Arabidopsis thaliana: one gene and its partner. The protein of the gene in region 1 interacts with the protein of each later gene in a pairwise test. Each region holds a gene or a part of one and is shown on either strand. Other genes may lie near its edges.

The links.
Region 2: the proteins of HIS1-3 (region 1) and DME interact in a two-hybrid assay, tested with the Arabidopsis thaliana proteins (one study listed by BioGRID).

The regions. Positions count from the first base shown.
Region 1 is NC_003071.7:7,839,553-7,849,922, forward strand, and holds HIS1-3 (histone H1-3), read left to right. Parts: upstream 1-6,446; 5' UTR 6,447-6,542; coding exon 6,543-6,629; intron 6,630-6,701; coding exon 6,702-7,118; 3' UTR 7,119-7,479; downstream 7,480-10,370. Other genes in the region: MSRA5 (Peptide methionine sulfoxide reductase family protein), read left to right, coding at 655-963, 1,300-1,412, 1,498-1,642, 1,747-1,944; PIN1AT (peptidylprolyl cis/trans isomerase, NIMA-interacting 1), read left to right, coding at 2,794-3,028, 3,861-3,985; VND1 (vascular related NAC-domain protein 1), read right to left, coding at 8,847-9,506, 10,235-10,370.
Region 2 is NC_003076.8:1,304,837-1,316,805, forward strand, and holds the start of DME (HhH-GPD base excision DNA repair family protein), read left to right. Parts: upstream 1-4,277; 5' UTR 4,278-4,400; exon of another isoform or gene 4,401-4,783; 5' UTR 4,784-4,949; coding exon 4,950-5,520; exon of another isoform or gene 5,521-5,631; coding exon 5,632-7,752; intron 7,753-7,850; coding exon 7,851-8,195; intron 8,196-8,428; coding exon 8,429-8,519; intron 8,520-8,589; coding exon 8,590-9,976; intron 9,977-10,068; coding exon 10,069-10,148; intron 10,149-10,251; coding exon 10,252-10,336; intron 10,337-10,419; coding exon 10,420-10,511; intron 10,512-10,584; coding exon 10,585-10,653; intron 10,654-10,772; coding exon 10,773-10,809; intron 10,810-10,906; coding exon 10,907-10,989; intron 10,990-11,242; coding exon 11,243-11,686; intron 11,687-11,948; coding exon 11,949-11,969. Other genes in the region: AT5G04550 (type-1 restriction enzyme mjaxp r protein (DUF668)), read right to left, coding at 1-720. UniProt on the Arabidopsis thaliana protein: Transcriptional activator involved in gene imprinting. Catalyzes the release of 5-methylcytosine (5-meC) from DNA by a glycosylase/lyase mechanism.

The DNA of each region.
Region 1 (10,370 bases):
GAGGAGAGGTCAAGCTGCTGCTTCAGCCGCCACTAGGGTTGTTAAACAATAAATAAATTAAAAAAAAACATTTGCTTCTCTTTTATATGTATATATATCCGTTTGGACCTTGTTCTCAAATTGTAAACATTTTTATGATAATCTTTGTCTTCTCTCTCGAAAAGTTTAAAGTATTATTGCAAATTGTAAAAAGTTATCATCGCAAGTTTTGATTATTGTTCTCGACCGAATAATTTTAATATTTAAACGAACCGTATCAAACCGAGTATTTGGTTATATGTTTAAAACGTCTTTAAGTATCAACTAAGTAGAAATATGGTCACCAATTGCTAACTGGTAAAAGCGGTTGAGACTCAGCATGATGAGAGAGTCTCACCACGGTTCGAGTCGCGATATTGGTACCTCGCTCCTACCAAAAGGAATCATGCCTTAATTGTTAGCCGAAATAAAGTAATCTAAATCACTTCTTTTTCAATAATCATGCAGCGAACCCTCTAAATGAATCAGAGGGTCTCAACTCTCAAAGACAGAGTTTAATGGAGGTGGAGCCATGGCGTGACTTTTTGAGCGACTCGACTCAATCGACTACAGGTTGTTCGTTCATATGGAGTTTCGTTCCCTGGTTCGAAACAGCAGCTAGACGAAAACTGTGTAATGGCTATATCACTGAAGAGGAACCGTTTCTTCATTCCTTATACGAATCTCGTCTTCTTCTTCTTCTTGTGTGTCTCTCTGCTCGATAAAACTGTATCCATCAGGATTTCGAATCAGATCTCGGATACTGTCGTTGATTCTCCCGATCGTCCTTTGAAATCTGCGGTTTTCGCTCTTGGAAGCTTCTGGAGATCGGAGGCGGCGTTTGGTTGTATCAATGGCGTCGTACGAACCTCCGCCGGTTACGCCGGTGGAACGAAGACGAATCCGGAGTATAGGAACTTAGGTGATCACGCCGAGTCCGTACAGGTTGGTTTTATTGTTTCAATTTTGAGGATTGAGCCAATGTTTACTTCGTTTATTCGATGTTTAGCTGATATGATTTGATTTGATCAGTGCCTATGTTGTTCGATTTGATTTGCTCTACTTAACAGATTTCGTTTGGATAATAAAATTGGAGAATGCTTTATGTGAATATCATCATTCATTAGCTGATTAGGTTGTTTTGTTGAAATTTGGTTATGTGTGATCTTAGTGTATATGTGATTGTCTGATTGAAGTTAAACTAAATTGTCTTTGTTCATCTGACTTAGTGTTTGAGGAGCTTAAAGATTTGTGTTGCTCTTGCTCTGTAATTGTCTTCAGGTTGAATATGATCCAAGGATAATTGGTTATCGTCAGCTCTTAGATGTATTTTGGTCTAGTCATGATTCTAGACAAGTGTTTGGACAAGGTCCTGATGTGGGTAATCAATACAGGTAAAAGAGCAAGTAAATAGCTGATGCTTATCTTTGAGTTTGTTTGTTTGGACCAAATCTAAAACATGGGAATCTTTTTGAACAGATCCTGTATTTTCACTAATTCTACAGAAGAATTGAGACTGGCTTCTACCAGCAAAGAAAGGGAGCAACTTAATACAAGAAGCAGTATCGTGACCACTCAAATTCAACAGCTAGGAACGTTTTATCGCGCAGAGCCTGATCACCAGGTTCAGCTTTAAGTCTCTCTGCATCTTCCATTCATATCACGGCTGTTTATTAGAGGATAAACGATTAAGAAAATCAATCTTCTCTTGAATTTCTGTATTTGCAGAAGTTCGAGCTGAAACAACATCCATTTCTTATTCAGCTAATTGGAAACATGGTAGAAGAAGAGCTTGAGAGATCAGCTCTAGCCACAAAACTAAACGGTTACGCAGCCGAGCTCTGCCCGCCTAGAATCCAGAAACATATCGACTCTAGAGTTAATGAGATCATTAGAAAAGGTTGGCCCGTCTTGAGAGACATCTAATATATAAGCCTTGTGAGATCTTCGCGTTCTTGGATTTGATTGCTTAGTCTCAGATGTAAGTTTTGGTTCATTCTTTTGGCCAGGAATTTGGTCACAACAATGTTTATGTCTTACTCTTGCCCCTTGAGTGGTGATTGTTCAGCGTTTTGTCTTGTTTCTTTTAAGATCTCTCAAATAGTATATGCTTTTTGTTTTCTTGTAAGAAGATTCAGTTAGACTTTCATTGTATCATTATGGTATTGATTACCAATTCATTGATATTATATATATATATATATATATATATATATATATATATATATATATATGATATACTTTGATTGCCAATCTCTCACATAGAATATGCTTTTTATGAATCCTTTACATCTTAGTATCATCAGTTGGTATTTTCGCAAATACAAAGAAAGTTCTGGGGTGATTTGTCAATAATAACGATTTGGGATTTTTATAGTAAATATTGTAAGTTTGGGTGTGATTTTTAAAAAATCAAAAGTTCCAGGGTTATTTCATAAATACCGAAAGATCCGAGGCGGTTTCATCATATACTGGGCGATCCGTGGTGGTTTCGAATATACCGAAAGATCCGGGAGCATTTTGAATCTGCTGAAAGATCTGGGGCGATTTCGTAGATACCAAAATATCTGTGGTGATTTCGTCTCACAGTTTCAATCGTCGATAATCATTAGGGTAAAGCAAAAATAGTGAAGCAGAGCCGCAAAAACACTTTTCCCAAAATCAACGAAGATAGATTCAGATCGGAAGCGAAAGAACGATTCGGTCTCCTCCACAGATCGAACATCGAAGGAGAAGAAAGACCATCATCACAACAAGCATCGAAAGAAGAGCAAGATGGCGTCGAGAGACCAAGTTAAGGCATCGCACATTTTGATTAAGCATCAAGGTTCTCGGAGGAAAGCGTCGTGGAAGGATCCAGAAGGGAAGATTATTCTGACTACCACTAGAGAAGCCGCCGTTGAGCAGCTTAAATCGATCCGTGAAGATATTGTCTCCGGCAAGGCGAATTTCGAAGAAGTGGCGACTCGTGTTTCTGACTGTAGCTCTGCTAAACGCGGCGGTGATCTTGGTTTGTTCTTATCCCTAATCTCTAGATCAGCGAGTTTAGGTTTAGGATGATTGAACTTAGGGTTAGATCTAGTGGCAATTAAGATTTTAGGAAATGAAGTTAATCTGTATAGTCTCAAGTGATGTTTGTTGAAGGAGTAGAAAGCTTGTTAACTGGATTCTATTGGATCTAACTCTTTACAGTGAAATTGAGCATAATGATCATAGCTTAGATCATTAGTGATGTTTAGAATCTCACAGTTCTTCCTCGATGTGTTTATAGTCATCACTAATGTTTAGAATCTATAGTTTCTAGCTTGATAAATCTTTAGTTGGTGCTCAGAAATTTTACTAATCTCTAGCTTCTATCATCATTAATGTTTAGCTTCTTCATATTCCTTAATAAATCTATTCTTGGCTCTCGTTAATCTCACTAATGTCTGTTTAGATAATCACCGATGTTGAGAGTCTAAAGTTTATCTTCCTTGATGAATCTATATCGGTGCTCACAAGTCTTACTATTGTCCACTTAGATCAACATCGATGATTAGAAACTAAAGTTTATTCCTTGATGTATCTTTAGTTGGTGCTCGTAAATCTTACTACTGTTTGCTTAGAGCATAACTATGTTTATAATCTAAAGTGTATTCCTTGATGAATCCATAATCGGTGCTCATAAATCTTACTAATGTCCACTTAGATCACTACCCATGTTTTCCTCGTGATGATTTATAATTGGTGCTCATCAAGTTTACTAACATCTTCGTAGATCATCTCCCACATAGAGTTTCTTTCTTGATGAATCTATAATTTGTGCTCATAAATCTTATGTTGATTTGTCCATCCCTGTTCAGGTTCCTTTGGTAGAGGTCAAATGCAGAAACCATTTGAGGAAGCAACTTACGCGCTCAAGGTTGGAGATATAAGCGACATTGTCGATACAGACAGTGGAGTCCACATCATTAAGAGAACAGCTTGACCTTATCTGATCTGATAGAAAATGTATTGAAGGTGCCTGCTTCGTTTCCCTTCTCTTCTTGACCAGAAGAACATAGAAGAAGAAGAATAAGAAGAATTTAATTCAAGGTTATTGTTATTGTGGTTTTGATTCTGAATCTGTCTACGAATTTGATACAACTCAAACATATGATAAAATCAGACAAGCTATCTCATTTCTTCTTAAAGGCTTCATAAGCACTCCCTGTCGTAGACAGTGACTTGTATAATCACATTTCAGTATCTTTGTCATGGTCTTACTGCAACATTCTGGCATCTTGTGTGTTGTCATTTTGCTCTTAAACTCTTGATAGTCTTTGGCTCTCGTCTCCACTCTTAATATTTGAGAAATCGTTTACTGTTAGGCGTAATTCAATGTTTAAACCAGTTTAGTAGGTTCTGAGCGGGATGTCTAGGTTTTTGACTTTTCTTAACAACATTTAAGGTTAGAGCCATTTAGCAATTAATCTAAACAGGTTTTTATTTTAAACAAGTCATGCAGAACTCCATTGTATGGGATTTAAGGATTCAAATAATTTTCTCTAGAAAATTCGAATAAATCGGTTTATTGGTTTAAATTTTGAGATATATACTGGTAACTGATTAATTATGTGAAGCCGGTTACACTTTTATTGCTCTTTGTAGTCAATATTTCCAAGTTAATGTTACTTGTTTTCTTGGAGTTTCAACTCTATTTATACTTATAAAACAACTATTGAAATTTCTAATTAAAGCATCCAAAGATGTTAAAGTAAGATAATTAATGTCATAGTTTCACATTTCATTCCATATAAATAATCAAAAGTCTTATTGTTGTTCATCAATCAAAAGCAAATATAACCTTCAGCATATATTTGGCTATACTAAGGTTCTTTTTACTCAATTTCTCATTATGTCTATAAAAAATATGCTTTCACTCCTAGCGGTTCTATGCATCATCGTTTCTGTAAATGCTTAGATGCCTCAGTTTCCGGCTCCATTTCCTTTTTCATTTCTATTCGAACCGATTCCTGGTATGTCAGGATTACCTGACATAACAAAATGTTGGTCATCCGTGATGGATATTCCTGGATGCATTGTAGAGGTTTCTCAATCTATTTTCACTGGAAAATTCGGCAATTTAGGTCCATCTTGTTGTAAAGCATTGTTGGACGCTGAAGTCAATTCCATGCCGAAAATTCCATTCATTCTGTTTTTCCCTCCGATGCTAAAGGAACAATGCTCAAGAATTGTGGGTGCAACTCCTCCTATACCAAAATAGAGTTTTAGCTTAGTTTTAAAAATCTATGATTTTTTTCTTTTCAACTTATTTATTGAAATTGTAGCTTACTCTACATGTTATACTCCAAAAAGAAAAAAACGATGATACAATAATAACATAGTTGTATTTGGGTTCAATACTTACTCATTTTTCAATTATAATGAATAACACCTTGAAACATTAACTCCGTAATTAATTTAGTCTTGCAATTTTTCATAAATTGTTTATATATGTCGTAACACAAAATTTGCGAACGGTTAATAACTTTACTAGATAAAACCTCTCTAAATAGGTAGATGTGAAAAATAAATAAATTTTTGTTTTAATAAATTTTTCAAATGATAATCTATATATATTTTATTTAATATATATTTTCTAAAACCAAATTTCAATCTTACCTTTTCTAAAACCATATTGTTAAAAACTAAAGAAAAAGTTGGACCAAGCAAAGCCTCTCGGTAAATGTGGTAAATAAATAGAACGATATAACTGAGAAGAAGAAAATAAAACAAAATTAAGAAAATAAAAAGATAAACATATTTAAGTTACAATATTTAAAAATATTAAAACACTTCTTTTTAAGAACAAAATGGGGAATTTTATTTATGTTTTGAATAGATCAACAATTATTAATAGAATGAGTTTAGTTTAATATATTAAATATAAAAAATTGAATATATAAACAATTGTTTTATGTATATATTTTTTTTTTGATAGGGTTAAGGATTTTTTTCTATTTTTGTTTTTAAATGTAATAAAATTTGAAACACATGTAAATATCGTATTAGTAAATACCGACCAAAAAAAATATTGTATTAGTAAATTTGACACATATCGCAATTTTTGTGAGCTAACAATTTTAAAAATCAAATAAGATGACGAACAAAGCTCTGGTTTAAACTTTCTCCCATCAATTTTTTCATTAAACCAAATTTAACCAATTATTTGGCCTAATAACTGCGTCTACGTTATTAAGAATAAGAACTTATTTTGTGTTTCAGTAGAAAACACACTCGTTCACAAAATGCCTAGTAAGAGTAAAGGACGATCACCGCCACCAAGTGTGTTTCTCGGATAAACACATGGAATCCAGCCATTACTTAAACGACACGTGTACGCTCATGATTTATTAATGCACACGTAATCGATCCTCTGACAAAAACCATAACGAATACAGAAAACACACGAATACACTTCCCTGCGCTATAAATAAGCTAGCACGAAAAAATTTAACAGATAGAGACAAGACAAGCAAAGCAACACTTTCACTAATCCTCTAATGGCAGAAGACAAGATCTTAAAGAAGACTCCGGCGGCGAAGAAGCCGCGAAAACCGAAAACCACCACTCATCCTCCATACTTTCAGGTGAGGTTCTAACTTTTTCTTTTGAGTTCCTATCTATTAAACTTAGTTTTTTCGTTTTGGTTTTTGATGAAGATGATAAAAGAGGCTTTGATGGTCCTGAAAGAGAAGAACGGATCAAGCCCTTATGCTATAGCTAAGAAGATAGAGGAGAAACACAAGTCTTTACTTCCAGAGAGTTTCCGTAAAACACTTTCTCTACAGCTTAAAAACTCTGTTGCTAAAGGTAAGCTCGTGAAGATCAGAGCCTCTTACAAGCTCTCAGATACCACCAAGATGATAACGAGGCAGCAGGACAAGAAGAATAAGAAGAATATGAAGCAAGAAGATAAAGAGATCACAAAGAGGACTAGGTCTTCTTCGACAAGGCCTAAGAAGACTGTGTCTGTGAACAAACAAGAAAAGAAGAGGAAAGTGAAGAAGGCGAGACAGCCTAAGTCTATCAAATCTTCAGTTGGTAAGAAGAAGGCCATGAAAGCTTCCGCTGCTTGATCACTGAGGAGGAGGAGAAGAAGATGGAACTGTGTGTGAATATGAAGAATAAGGTTTTTTGTTGTCTCTGTAAATGGATGATGACTTTGTTTTGGTTTGGTGTGGTCTCTTTTGGGTGTAAGAGTAAAGAGTCTTCGGATGTATAACCAGTACTACCATGTAATATACTCTAAATAGATAGATTTTTACTTGGGTTGATATCTATTATTTGTTCAAAGAATCGAAGAAACGAAGGCGAAACAAATTCGAGTAATTATTTCTAGTTGGGGGTTGGTTAACTAAATGCTAATTATGTATTTTATCTAAGTCGTTGAATTGAAAAGAAAAAACGCCTAATACTTATGTATGACTAAGATGGGGCCTAAAGACTTTTGAAACGGCCCAAGTTAGTGATTACACGGAGCCCATACAGATGTTTTAACAAAACATATTGGTTCATATGTAATCGTTAGTACAAACACTACAACTCTTCGCGTGTAAACCAACATCTCTATATGGTTTAGTAATGAATACAAAAATAGATACTTTTCAGTTTTATTCATTTGAGCTAAGAGAGTAAAAAATTCTATGTATTTGGTTTGCTTGGAGCTATAAAGTTTATCATGATGTCTTTGAGTTCAAAATATTTGTGACATTCAACTAGATTATCAATGTTTCGTAAGCCAGTACCTAAAAGTAGCGAATACAATTAGACACAGTTGTAAACGATCCGTTACTTAGGTAGTCGAAATATGCACAGTTAGATAACGGTTTCAGTCTTTGTAACTTACCTTGAGGATCAAACAGCGCTCCTCCTTAGAGCATCATTAGCTCCTCCTTTCGGTCAATCAACATCTTCTCAAGACCAATGCCTTTGAAATATAGTGCCTACCAATGCATTGAAGACATTCTTTAAAGCGTAAATATAATGTAGTCTAGCTCAAAGAGTAAAATAGAGAGTTTGGAGCAACTAAAGTTTGCGGAACTATATATATACTAAGGAAGGTGTCCTCGTTTTAAGCGGATGTTTGCGAGTTTGTTTTGGAGAGATTACTGAATGATCTGAAATATAACCGATGCACGCAGCTAACATAATCTTTAATTTTGATAGTTCACTTTTTGAGTTTTTGTTTACAATACATGGGTTTTCTTTATTTTTGTTAGTTTGGTATTGATATTCCCACAATTTGAAAAGATTGCATGAGATTTGAGAACCAACATCTAACATTTATAATATAATAAAATTTCCAAGTGAATCAAGATTAAAAAAAGATTCATATGAGATAAAATAAAGTTTTAAATTGAAGACTCTTGCTCCCAAAGTCTCGTTGGTATTGTGGACGACAAAGCATGCCCAACGGAGCCCCGTTGTGCACACCGCACGCTCGACATCTCCTTGCCCCACAACAATGATTTCTTATTCTGATTTCTAACTATACTTAATTAATGGCCCCTTAAATCATCTCTATAAAACTAACTATAATTAAAAAATTTAGAAAACCTCACAATTCATACCCTCATAACGTAACAATAACTCTGACCTAGTCACTCAAACTCGAATATAAATAGTACGTAACGTAATATAGATTTATATCCTCACTCATTCACAACCCTAACACATTCTTTTCATAAAACTAGACATGGCTAAACCATATGTTTAATTTTCTTTATTAGTTATATTGTTAATATTTTCATATAAGTGTAAGTAAACGTACCAACAAATCTCACATGCCATCTATGTAGTTTCATTCAATTATCAAATACGCAAATCCCAATATCATAATCCGAGTTTGTACTCAAGAATTCACTGACGAACCTGTTTTCTTCTTCTCTTTCGCTCAAAAACATTGACGAATCCATCTCCACATCATTGTTGTTTTTATCTTCATTAACTATATGATGACCTGCGAAACTTGAAGTTCCATTGTCTTCTTGGCTCATAAGTTGTGAAGCAACAAACTTGTCTAACTCTCTCCAATTTCCCGTCATCATTACTTGCTTTTTCTTCTTCCTTCTATCCTCTCCTCTTATGAATGACTCGAAGCTTTCTTCATCCGCTAATGGGAGTTTATAGTTGTAATTGTTATCCATTGATGTTATGGACATCGAGCTTGAAGGTCTTTTCATCAGCGGGAGAGAAGGGCTTTGGAGTTGTGGGAGCTGAATGAATTGATTCGATTGTATATAGTTTATACCATCAACCATTCCTTCTAGTTCTTGCTTACACATCAAACCTTTCCCAAAAATGTTATGTTGCTGCTTAGATATGTAATCAATGGGGTCCATAACCGAGTTAACTCCATTCGGTGCAACTTCATCGTAAAAGTAACTTGAGCTCCAAGTTTCCGTGTTCTTGGCTTGCCCTGTAGCTCTTTTTTTGAATGCTCTACAAACCACCCATCCTTCTTCCTAAAACACATATATGCACAAAAATGATCATAAGAAGACATGACATGTAAATAGAATCTTTGGCTTGAATTGATGTTTCAAAAATTGGTAAAGAATCATATAATACATAAGGCCAATGCAAACAAAAAGATGGAGAAAAGGCAGTTAGATTTTAGTGAAACACACATAAGGACATGCTTGAAAAGTGTGAGACCAAAAATAAGAAAGCTAGTGAAATGTATAGGTACATACTCATGCAATCTAATAGAGTTTCACTTTTGAACTTTATTGACTTTAAGATATTGAAAAAACAAGCACAACTATAATCATAAACAATATATACTACAAACATATATAGATCATTTTCTATAGAGGAAATTGCTAGCGTACAAATATATATGCGAAAGATTACTACAAAAGGGATTAAATAATTTATAATTGTTATAAACGAGACAAAAGTTTACATGTTTACTACTTCAAAAGGAAATGTGATTGAACTTTTCTGTTTTTGGTTAGTGGAAAACTGTAAAATTCTGCAATGGTCAAAATATTTATAATAAAAATTGACGTGAGACTGAAATTTGATACTAGTTTAGGAGAGACTTTTACTTTCTTTTTTCTGATTGAATATAAGTATTAATGGACTTTCACCTAAAAGTTAGCATGTGCCTCACGAAAGAGCCCAAGAGACAAGAAGCCCTAATTAAAACAAAAATGTTTTGTCCCCACCAAAGTAGAAACACAAGTACCTGGGGCGGTGCATTCTCATCTGACTCGAGCCGGTACTCATGCATGATCCAATCGGATTTCTTGCCATTAGGTGCACGTCCTTTGTAGAACACAAGTGTTTTCCTCATACCAATTAGTTTTGTTTTGTCGTAAACA
Region 2 (11,969 bases), on another chromosome or scaffold:
AGAGCTAACATCACTTGCTTCCACTCTGTAACTAATGCCAAAAACATGTTTAGTCCTGCTAAGGATTGTGAAAACTGATCTAACCAAGAGAATGACGGTATAGTCATAAGTACGGTTCCAAAGAGACACATCCCGCAGATTCTTCACTTCGTGTCTTTTCCATGTAACTTTTTTCTGATACTCCAAAAGATTGTCAGTAGCAGATTCATTGCTCTTCATTCTCTTGAAAGTCTGTTCAAGATCAGCAAGAATCTCAGTCTCCTGGTAGAGACTAGCATTAGATGATATGAAACGTTCCATTTTCTTAGCTTTCTTATCCATTTTCTTCCACCCAAACTGCCAACCATAAGGGTCAGCTCCAGTCTTCATCATATCACTAAAACAATTCTCAAAGCACTTCAACTTGGGATCGTTGCATTTCCTCGCAAGCCTAGCCACAGCTTTCGCTACATTCTCAACGTTCTCCATCATTTCATCACGTATTAACCTCACAATAAAATCATCATCTTCTGAAACTAACTTCTTTATACCAGTGGAATGTGTAATCTCGTCCCTAAGCCTTGCAACATTCTTATCACTTAATGACTGCCACAAATGAACAAGCTTCGACAACAAACTCGCAACCTCAAACGCTAATACTCCTAGAACCGCCTTATCTTTATGACCATCATGTTTCTTTGGAAACCTCCACAGATTACGAAACCAAGTCTCTGAAACCATCTTCTCTCAACCTGCAATAAACCAATACTATCAACACCAAAAAGCTTCCAAATTTCACAATAAAAAACCAGACCCACGATTGAAATCTCAAGAAAACAGCAAGAAGTAACTCGTACACAAGCAAAAAGGAATTGAAATTGGGGAAATCTAGCTACAGAGCTCAAGTTAGAGAGAAACGCCCAAATTCAACCAACCCTCTAAATCGGTTCTCGAAGCTTAAAGCTACCAACATCGAATTTAGTAAAAGACCCATGATTTGAAATTGGAATTGTCGGCAAAATCGAGAAGATATAGAGCCGACACGGGAACAGTGAAAACCACAAAGCGCGTAAGAATGAAACAGTGGGAGAAGGAAGAGAGAATCTTACCGATCATTCGAGGGAAAAGATGGGAATCAGAGAAAAATCTGGAAAAAAAGAAATTAAGAGAAAGAGAGAGAAGAAAGTGAGGAGGAAGATGCAGTGAAGACTGCTATAGCCACATCCCACATGGTGTGATGAGAGAGAGAGAGAGAGAGGTTAAAGCAGCAAATTGTGGAGAGATAAAGAGAGAGAGAGACTGAGCGAGTCAAGTTCGTCGTCGTGTTTAAAAGAAAGAATCCTATATTTGCCTTTTTCTTTACTACTTTATTTTCAGACTATTTGCTTATTTTGCCTCAAACTTTTTTGATTGTCACTTTTCGATCCTAAAGTGTTTGACAATTTACCTGCCTTTTTCTCCAAGAAAAATCAGAACAGACCACAGCAAATTTATGTATTTTCTATTAAAAAAGAAAGAAAGAATTCATATTACTTATAGAATTAAAAGCTAAGCAGTTGAAAACGTGAAAGCAGAATTTCTAAAAAAAATAGTAAACTGCTACAAACTTATTTATGTGTATATAACATATCTATAAAGAAACTCAAATATATGATAAATCATTTTAACAAAATTTCTATGAAATTATAATAAAAAAAGTCACTTTTGACACTTAAAAGGTTGACAATAACCGTCTCTCCAAAAAAAAATCAAAACATTTATAATTTCTAAAACTATGGTGTAATTTTGCTGAAATCAAAAAGAAAAGAAGGATTTCTATATCATAAGTTTCATTATTGTATCAAACTTTCAAATTTCATGTAATTTGAAAGGAAAAAAATTAAGATATAATGTTGTTTTTGTTTCTTATGTTACATTTTCATGGAATATATATTCATAACAAAAAATGTATTTTAATATGATGAGAGATTACCATCCAAAAGGTCGAACTTATATAAAACAAGTTAATAACTAAACAATACATGTGATCACAATCAATGACAGTTTTGATCTTAAAATAGAAATGATTGAGCAAACCTCAAAAATGTCTTCTTAGGATCACAAAATCTTTCCTTTAGCTTATTAAAGCCGGGAGTTCAACTCTCTCTCCCTTGTAGACTTTTTGTTTTCAAATCTTTTTCTTTCAAAAAATCAATAATTAGTTAATGGGCATAATATTTGGTTTTAATTAAGTCCATAGATTTTTTAGGACCATCTCTAATCACGACAAATATCCTAAATTGTAACACATTTAAAACTTAAAAGTATTGCATTCACAATCCTTAAAATATATATATATATATATATATATATATATATATATATATATGAAAGTTATATAGAAACGATAACTCCTTACTCAACAATTAGCCCAAAAAAACATCCATAATGCATTTAAACTAGGAATTTTAACAAACTCAAATAGGTTGGTAGTTAAAAAAAAACAAATAGTAGATGTACATACGTACCTTTAAAAATATATACTCATATCGAAAGTTTTAAATTTTGCGAAATTAAATACATTTATCTATCAATTAAAATACATTTAATAATGCATAATTCTGTAATATCTATCTTTAATTTCCATATAGAACCAAAACAAAATAAACATATCAAATAGTTTTAACTTAACAAAAACGTTAGGGAAAAGTTGACCTAACTAGCTTGATTGACGTTGAACTTGTCAATGCGAAAGCGATATTTCCAATATATACTACATGTAGTATTATTTATATGGAAGTTTCTAAAAAGGTGTTGAGTGGATTGTTACTTGTTGGAGGATGCTATTTTTTCCTTCTTGCCATAATATTTTACGAGTATGGGATAACTACATACTCATGATTATGAAACGCTCACTTTATTTGAAAAACCTCCTAATACACCAAATATGTCACTAGATTCCAAAACGTAGACCAATTGTATCTAATCTCAAATTCTCAATCAAAGTATTAATTTACCGATGGTAAGAAAAGTTAACCGATATAATTATCAAAAGAAAGAATAAGTCAACAGATTCTTAATCTCTTTATTTTGGTATATGAACATTTGTACAAAAATCTCAAAAGATATGTAACTGTTTAAAATATAAATTCACTGAGATTAATTCTTCAGACTCGTGTTAGCTATAATAATGTCAAGAGTTCTTCTTGTTTCAAGGAAAAACCTTAAAGATATGTATATTTTCTGTAATTATGATGATATAATTTGCTATTCATTGTCACAAACATTACTTTAAAAAATCGTATTTTCATTACTACAATGTTGACTAAGAACAAAAATACATTGATTATTGATATATCGTCAACTGAATTTTCTTCCGAGGGATATAATTCTCAAACATAGCAAGAATCTCATAATAATGTTTCGTGACTACCTTTAGACGAAATTTTTTTAAGATTCGTAACGTGACTTATGGTCTCTTGCTGTGGGGGTCAATGCGAATAAATCTAAATGTATGGGAGTCAAATAAAATACCAAGAAAAATAAAGGAGCAGCACCCAATAAACTATATGGGACCAGAAATCCTTTCATTGGTTTAAAATAGGATTATCCCGAAAGATGAAGGACTAAATTGAAACTGATTGGGGGTAGGAAGAGATCCGTCACAATCATTAATGGCTTCCACGCGGAAACTTGTCGTTTATACAATTTCATTAACTTTCGGGTCGGGTTTATATTCCAAATGGGTCAAATAATATTAGTTTAATACACTAACGGAGTAATTAATTGGTGACTACAATTTTATCAGTTTGGTGCAATTAGAAACGAACATAGTCGTAAAATACGAGTTCGGTGTTATACCTTTATTTACGTTAAAAAAATACGAGAATTTTGTGTCAAATTTCAAATTAATTTCATGAATATATGGAAATTATTAGATACTCTAGCGAAAATAGTGATTATGAGCGTTTTACAAAAATACGATTTTAGCATTGAACTTCCTTTATGTAATTCGGTCAAATGTTGGCATGAAGAAGCAAGTTTGCAACATTAAATTTCATTTAAAAATCGTGTTGACATACTTTAAAATCTAAATATAGGAAGAAGACCAAAACATTAAATTTAGTAAGATTCTAATGAACATTTATAAGTTATAACTTATAACCAACAAAAGTTGGGTTTAGCGTTGTTGCTTTATCTGAAAACTTGCAAACTAAACCATTTTAATAGGACTAATGACAATTAACAACAAAATACACTTAAGCAACAACGTCCTCGTGAATATAATTTGGGCCTCAGGCCCATATTGCTAACGCCAACTGATATTTCACTTTATTCCTTCTTCATCTCACCACACTCTCTCTCTATCTCTATCTCTAACGGCATAGCTGACTCAGTGTTCTCCGGCATTGACTCGCCTGAGAATCAGAAAGCTTAGATCGGTGAGCTTTTAGCTCCATTTTCTGTTTATTTACATATTATTTCCTTTTTTTCTCTCTCCCTTTTTTATCTGGAATTTGTTCTGCTAAATTTTCCAGCTGTTACATTTTCCGATCACGAGAAGAATCACTGGGTTTTTATGTTAATCAATACATGTTCCTGTTTTCTGATCATAAATCTCAGCTATTAACACCTGATTTTGATTCTGCGTAATAAAAACCTCTGATTTGCTTTTATCTTCACTTTCCCCATAAACATTGCTTACTTTATTCGCTCTTCTTTTACCGTTTCCAGCTAAAAAATTCTTCGCTATTCAATGTGTTTCTCGTTTTGTTGATGAGAAAAATATCTGACAAAAAATCATTTATTGCATTTTATGGTGCAGATTCTTAGTTAATGTCGCCTTCTCTAACCAAGTCAGATTAAAAAGGAGTGTTCGTCCATGTTGCTTTGTTTTGGTGTTTGGAGAGAGTTTTCGGAGAGTTAGGTGAGTGTTATTTGGGGTGAGGTAGTGATAAGGTTTGAAGGGGGAGTGATTCATCAAGTGTGTTATGAATTCGAGGGCTGATCCGGGGGATAGATATTTTCGAGTTCCTTTGGAGAATCAAACTCAACAAGAGTTCATGGGTTCTTGGATTCCATTTACACCCAAAAAACCTAGATCAAGTCTGATGGTAGATGAGAGAGTGATAAACCAGGATCTAAATGGGTTTCCAGGTGGTGAATTTGTAGACAGGGGATTCTGCAACACTGGTGTGGATCATAATGGGGTTTTTGATCATGGTGCTCATCAGGGCGTTACCAACTTAAGTATGATGATCAATAGCTTAGCGGGATCACATGCACAAGCTTGGAGTAATAGTGAGAGAGATCTTTTGGGCAGGAGTGAGGTGACTTCTCCTTTAGCACCAGTTATCAGAAACACCACCGGTAATGTAGAGCCGGTCAATGGAAATTTTACTTCAGATGTGGGTATGGTAAATGGTCCTTTCACCCAGAGTGGCACTTCTCAAGCTGGCTATAATGAGTTTGAATTGGATGACTTGTTGAATCCTGATCAGATGCCCTTCTCCTTCACAAGCTTGCTGAGTGGTGGGGATAGCTTATTCAAGGTTCGTCAATGTGAGTGATCAAATCTATTTTCAGTTTTTTTTTTTCCCTTTCTTCCGTTCTTGCAGTACTTAGAGTAGAACATGAATTAGAATATCTTAAGAAAGTCATGGTTTTGAACAGATGGACCTCCAGCGTGTAACAAGCCTCTTTACAATTTGAATTCACCAATTAGAAGAGAAGCAGTTGGGTCAGTCTGTGAAAGTTCGTTTCAATATGTACCGTCAACGCCCAGTCTGTTCAGAACAGGTGAAAAGACTGGATTCCTTGAACAGATAGTTACAACTACTGGACATGAAATCCCAGAGCCGAAATCTGACAAAAGTATGCAGAGCATTATGGACTCGTCTGCTGTTAATGCGACGGAAGCTACTGAACAAAATGATGGCAGCAGACAAGATGTTCTGGAGTTCGACCTTAACAAAACTCCTCAGCAGAAACCCTCCAAAAGGAAAAGGAAGTTCATGCCCAAGGTGGTCGTGGAAGGCAAACCTAAAAGAAAGCCACGCAAACCTGCAGAACTTCCCAAAGTGGTCGTGGAAGGCAAACCTAAAAGGAAGCCACGCAAAGCTGCAACTCAGGAAAAAGTGAAATCTAAAGAAACCGGGAGTGCCAAAAAGAAAAATTTGAAAGAATCAGCAACTAAAAAGCCAGCCAATGTTGGAGATATGAGCAACAAAAGCCCTGAAGTCACACTCAAAAGTTGCAGAAAAGCTTTGAATTTTGACTTGGAGAATCCTGGAGATGCGAGGCAAGGTGACTCTGAGTCTGAAATTGTCCAGAACAGTAGTGGCGCAAACTCGTTTTCTGAGATCAGAGATGCCATTGGTGGAACTAATGGTAGTTTCCTGGATTCAGTGTCACAAATAGACAAGACCAATGGATTGGGGGCTATGAACCAGCCACTTGAAGTGTCAATGGGAAACCAGCCAGATAAACTATCTACAGGAGCGAAACTGGCCAGAGACCAACAACCTGATTTATTGACTAGAAACCAGCAATGCCAGTTCCCAGTGGCAACCCAGAACACCCAGTTCCCAATGGAAAACCAACAAGCTTGGCTTCAGATGAAAAACCAACTTATTGGCTTTCCATTTGGTAACCAGCAACCTCGCATGACCATAAGAAACCAGCAGCCTTGCTTGGCCATGGGTAATCAACAACCTATGTATCTGATAGGAACTCCACGGCCTGCATTAGTAAGTGGAAACCAGCAACTAGGAGGTCCCCAAGGAAACAAGCGGCCTATATTTTTGAATCACCAGACTTGTTTACCTGCTGGAAATCAGCTATATGGATCACCTACAGACATGCATCAACTTGTTATGTCAACCGGAGGGCAACAACATGGACTACTGATAAAAAACCAGCAACCTGGATCATTAATAAGAGGCCAGCAGCCTTGCGTACCTTTGATTGACCAGCAACCTGCAACTCCAAAAGGTTTTACTCACTTGAATCAGATGGTAGCTACCAGCATGTCATCGCCTGGGCTTCGACCTCATTCTCAGTCACAAGTTCCTACAACATATCTACATGTGGAATCTGTTTCCAGGATTTTGAATGGGACTACAGGTACATGCCAGAGAAGCAGGGCTCCTGCATACGATTCTTTACAGCAAGATATCCATCAAGGAAATAAGTACATACTTTCTCATGAGATATCCAATGGTAATGGGTGCAAGAAAGCGTTACCTCAAAACTCTTCTCTGCCAACTCCAATTATGGCTAAACTTGAGGAAGCCAGGGGCTCGAAGAGACAGTATCATCGTGCAATGGGACAGACGGAAAAGCATGATCTAAACTTAGCTCAACAGATTGCTCAATCACAAGATGTGGAGAGACATAACAGCAGCACGTGTGTGGAATATTTAGATGCTGCAAAGAAAACGAAAATCCAGAAAGTAGTCCAAGAAAATTTGCATGGCATGCCACCTGAGGTTATAGAAATCGAGGATGATCCAACTGATGGGGCAAGAAAAGGTAAAAATACTGCCAGCATCAGTAAAGGTGCATCTAAAGGAAACTCGTCTCCAGTTAAAAAGACAGCAGAAAAGGAGAAATGTATTGTCCCAAAAACGCCTGCAAAAAAGGGTCGAGCAGGTAGAAAAAAATCAGTACCTCCGCCTGCTCATGCCTCAGAGATCCAGCTTTGGCAACCTACTCCTCCAAAGACACCTTTATCAAGAAGCAAGCCTAAAGGAAAAGGGAGAAAGTCCATACAAGATTCAGGAAAAGCAAGAGGTAACTAATGTATTCTACAATCTCTGTGATATAATTTTGAGATTTTAGTAACTGATGTGTCCAAACCAGCTCCTTATCACTGTTGGTGCGTTGTATAGGTCCATCAGGAGAACTTCTGTGTCAGGATTCTATTGCGGAAATAATTTACAGGATGCAAAATCTGTATCTAGGAGACAAAGAAAGAGAACAAGAGCAAAATGCAATGGTCTTGTACAAAGGAGATGGTGCACTTGTTCCCTATGAGAGCAAGAAGCGAAAACCAAGACCCAAAGTTGACATTGACGATGAAACAACTCGCATATGGAACTTACTGATGGGGAAAGGAGATGAAAAAGAAGGGGATGAAGAGAAGGATAAAAAGAAAGAGAAGTGGTGGGAAGAAGAAAGAAGAGTCTTCCGAGGAAGGGCTGATTCCTTCATCGCTCGCATGCACCTGGTACAAGGTGAAGATCCACTTCTCTTCTCAACTCCATTTTTATTCACACAAATTAGTAGAATACTCAAAAATGATGTTTTGTTTGCAAAATTTTAAAATTCACTAGTTAACCATGTCAAATAATATTCATAATGCATCTTGTGAAGAACAGGTGTGCATTTATGGTGACAGCTGAATGGTTTATGTGCCTATTATTTCTTTTACTGCTATAGATGACCAATTGAACTTAAACGTTTACAGGAGATAGACGTTTTTCGCCATGGAAGGGATCGGTGGTTGATTCGGTCATTGGAGTTTTCCTTACACAGAATGTCTCGGATCACCTTTCAAGGTATATGAGTTGCCTTAATAAATTGAGTTCCAAAACATAGAAATTAACCCATGGTGGTTTTACAATGCAGCTCTGCGTTCATGTCTCTAGCTGCTCGATTCCCTCCAAAATTAAGCAGCAGCCGAGAAGATGAAAGGAATGTTAGAAGCGTAGTTGTTGAAGATCCAGAAGGATGCATTCTGAACTTAAATGAAATTCCTTCGTGGCAGGAAAAGGTTCAACATCCATCTGACATGGAAGTTTCTGGGGTTGATAGTGGATCAAAAGAGCAGCTAAGGGACTGTTCAAACTCTGGAATTGAAAGATTTAATTTCTTAGAGAAGAGTATTCAAAATTTAGAAGAGGAAGTATTATCATCACAAGATTCTTTTGATCCGGCGATATTTCAGTCGTGTGGGAGAGTTGGATCCTGTTCATGTTCCAAATCAGACGCAGAGTTTCCTACAACCAGGTGTGAAACAAAAACTGTCAGTGGAACATCACAATCAGTGCAAACTGGGAGCCCAAACTTGTCTGATGAAATTTGTCTTCAAGGGAATGAGAGACCGCATCTATATGAAGGATCTGGTGATGTTCAGAAACAAGAAACTACAAATGTCGCTCAGAAGAAACCTGATCTTGAAAAAACAATGAATTGGAAAGACTCTGTCTGTTTTGGTCAGCCAAGAAATGATACTAATTGGCAAACAACTCCTTCCAGCAGCTATGAGCAGTGTGCGACTCGACAGCCACATGTACTAGACATAGAGGATTTTGGAATGCAAGGTGAAGGCCTTGGTTATTCTTGGATGTCCATCTCACCAAGAGTTGACAGAGTAAAGAACAAAAATGTACCACGCAGGTTTTTCAGACAAGGTGGAAGTGTTCCAAGAGAATTCACAGGTCAGATCATACCATCAACGCCTCATGAATTACCAGGAATGGGATTGTCCGGTTCCTCAAGCGCCGTCCAAGAACACCAGGACGATACCCAACATAATCAACAAGATGAGATGAATAAAGCATCCCATTTACAAAAAACATTTTTGGATCTGCTCAACTCCTCTGAAGAATGCCTTACAAGACAGTCCAGTACCAAACAGAACATCACGGATGGCTGTCTACCGAGAGATAGAACTGCTGAAGACGTGGTTGATCCGCTCAGTAACAATTCAAGCTTACAGAACATATTGGTCGAATCAAATTCCAGCAATAAAGAGCAGACGGCAGTTGAATACAAGGAGACAAATGCCACTATTTTACGAGAGATGAAAGGGACGCTTGCTGATGGGAAAAAGCCTACAAGCCAGTGGGATAGTCTCAGAAAAGATGTGGAGGGGAATGAAGGGAGACAGGAACGAAACAAAAACAATATGGATTCCATAGACTATGAAGCAATAAGACGTGCTAGTATCAGCGAGATTTCTGAGGCTATCAAGGAAAGAGGGATGAATAACATGTTGGCCGTACGAATTAAGGTAAATCTACTAATTTCAGTTGAGACCCTCATCAAATCTGTCAGAAGGCTTGAACATCAGTAAATTATGTAACCATATTTACAACATTGCAGGATTTCCTAGAACGGATAGTTAAAGATCATGGTGGTATCGACCTTGAATGGTTGAGAGAATCTCCTCCTGATAAAGCCAAGTGGGTAAATCACATTTTTAGTGACTGCAACACTAGCACGATCGATTTACTCAACAATTACGTCAAACTGAGTATTAACAAGTTGCTCATGAACATTTCACAGGGACTATCTCTTGAGCATAAGAGGTCTGGGTTTGAAAAGTGTTGAATGCGTGCGACTCTTAACACTCCACAATCTTGCTTTCCCTGTGAGTCAGACTATTCCATTATCTACTAAAAACTTAGAATAACTCCGGCTAACTAAGCTGGAACTTGTATTGATGATATGAAGGTTGACACGAATGTTGGAAGGATAGCAGTTAGGATGGGATGGGTGCCTCTACAACCCCTACCTGAATCACTTCAGTTACACCTCCTGGAGCTGTAAGTTTCTTTTTGTTTGTCATCTAAACAACGAAATTTTTATGCAAGTCATAACCATGCTGTGTTTTCACAGATACCCAGTGCTCGAGTCCATCCAAAAATTTCTTTGGCCAAGACTTTGCAAACTCGATCAACGAACACTGTATGCTCATAAACTCTAACAAATCATCTGTCTGAAAAACCAATATTTCTTTGGTAGAATTCTATTGTCATTACTCATTACTAACAGCGAAATTAATTAACGTTCTTTTTCTTACTCAGGTATGAATTACACTACCAACTGATTACGTTTGGAAAGGTATTATTGCTCTAAGCTTTGAATTTATCATATGGTAATTTCAAGCATTGTAGGCACCTGATCAATTATGTGTCTAAATCATGTGAATTCATGTCAGGTATTTTGCACAAAGAGTAGACCAAATTGTAATGCATGTCCAATGAGAGGAGAGTGCAGACACTTTGCCAGTGCTTATGCTAGGTAAGCAAGCTTTCATGTACTTATATGCAATAATTAAAGATAAAATTTAGGATTATGGGTAAGTAACAAAAAATTAGGCTCAGTTTCATGGTAGCTAGCTGGAAATAGTATTACAAGAACAACATAAAGATCAAAGACAGAATCATGGATCCATATGCACTATCATTTTAGCTCTTGTAATCCATACATGAACACTATATGCCAAAGTAGGGATTTCAAATATGAGATTCGATGACTGATGCCATTGTAACAGTGCAAGACTTGCTTTACCGGCACCAGAGGAGAGGAGCTTAACAAGTGCAACTATTCCGGTCCCTCCCGAGTCCTATCCTCCTGTAGCCATCCCGATGATAGAACTACCTCTTCCGTTGGAGAAATCCCTAGCAAGTGGAGCACCATCGAATAGAGAAAACTGTGAACCAATAATTGAAGAGCCGGCCTCGCCCGGGCAAGAGTGCACTGAAATAACCGAGAGTGATATTGAAGATGCTTACTACAATGAGGACCCTGACGAGATCCCAACAATAAAACTCAACATTGAACAGTTTGGAATGACTCTACGGGAACACATGGAAAGAAACATGGAGCTCCAAGAAGGTGACATGTCCAAGGCTTTGGTTGCTTTGCATCCAACAACTACTTCTATTCCAACTCCCAAACTAAAGAACATTAGCCGTCTCAGGACAGAGCACCAAGTGTAAGCTAATATCTCCTCCTATATTTTATCTTCCATATAAATTTTGGGGAAAAAATCGCTCTCCATCTGGTTTTAGAACATGCGGGTCAGCCAGGGTTATGGCATTTTTATATATTTCACCGATCGGCCCGAGCTGGCTCTGGTTGACTCGTATGCCACCCTGCATTGAACAAACCAGTAGGAGACAAGCAAGCAAAACGTTTTAAGATAAGGTCTATGGTAAAATGACAAGGTAACTGATAAATGTGTCGTCTATTTGCAGGTACGAGCTCCCAGATTCACA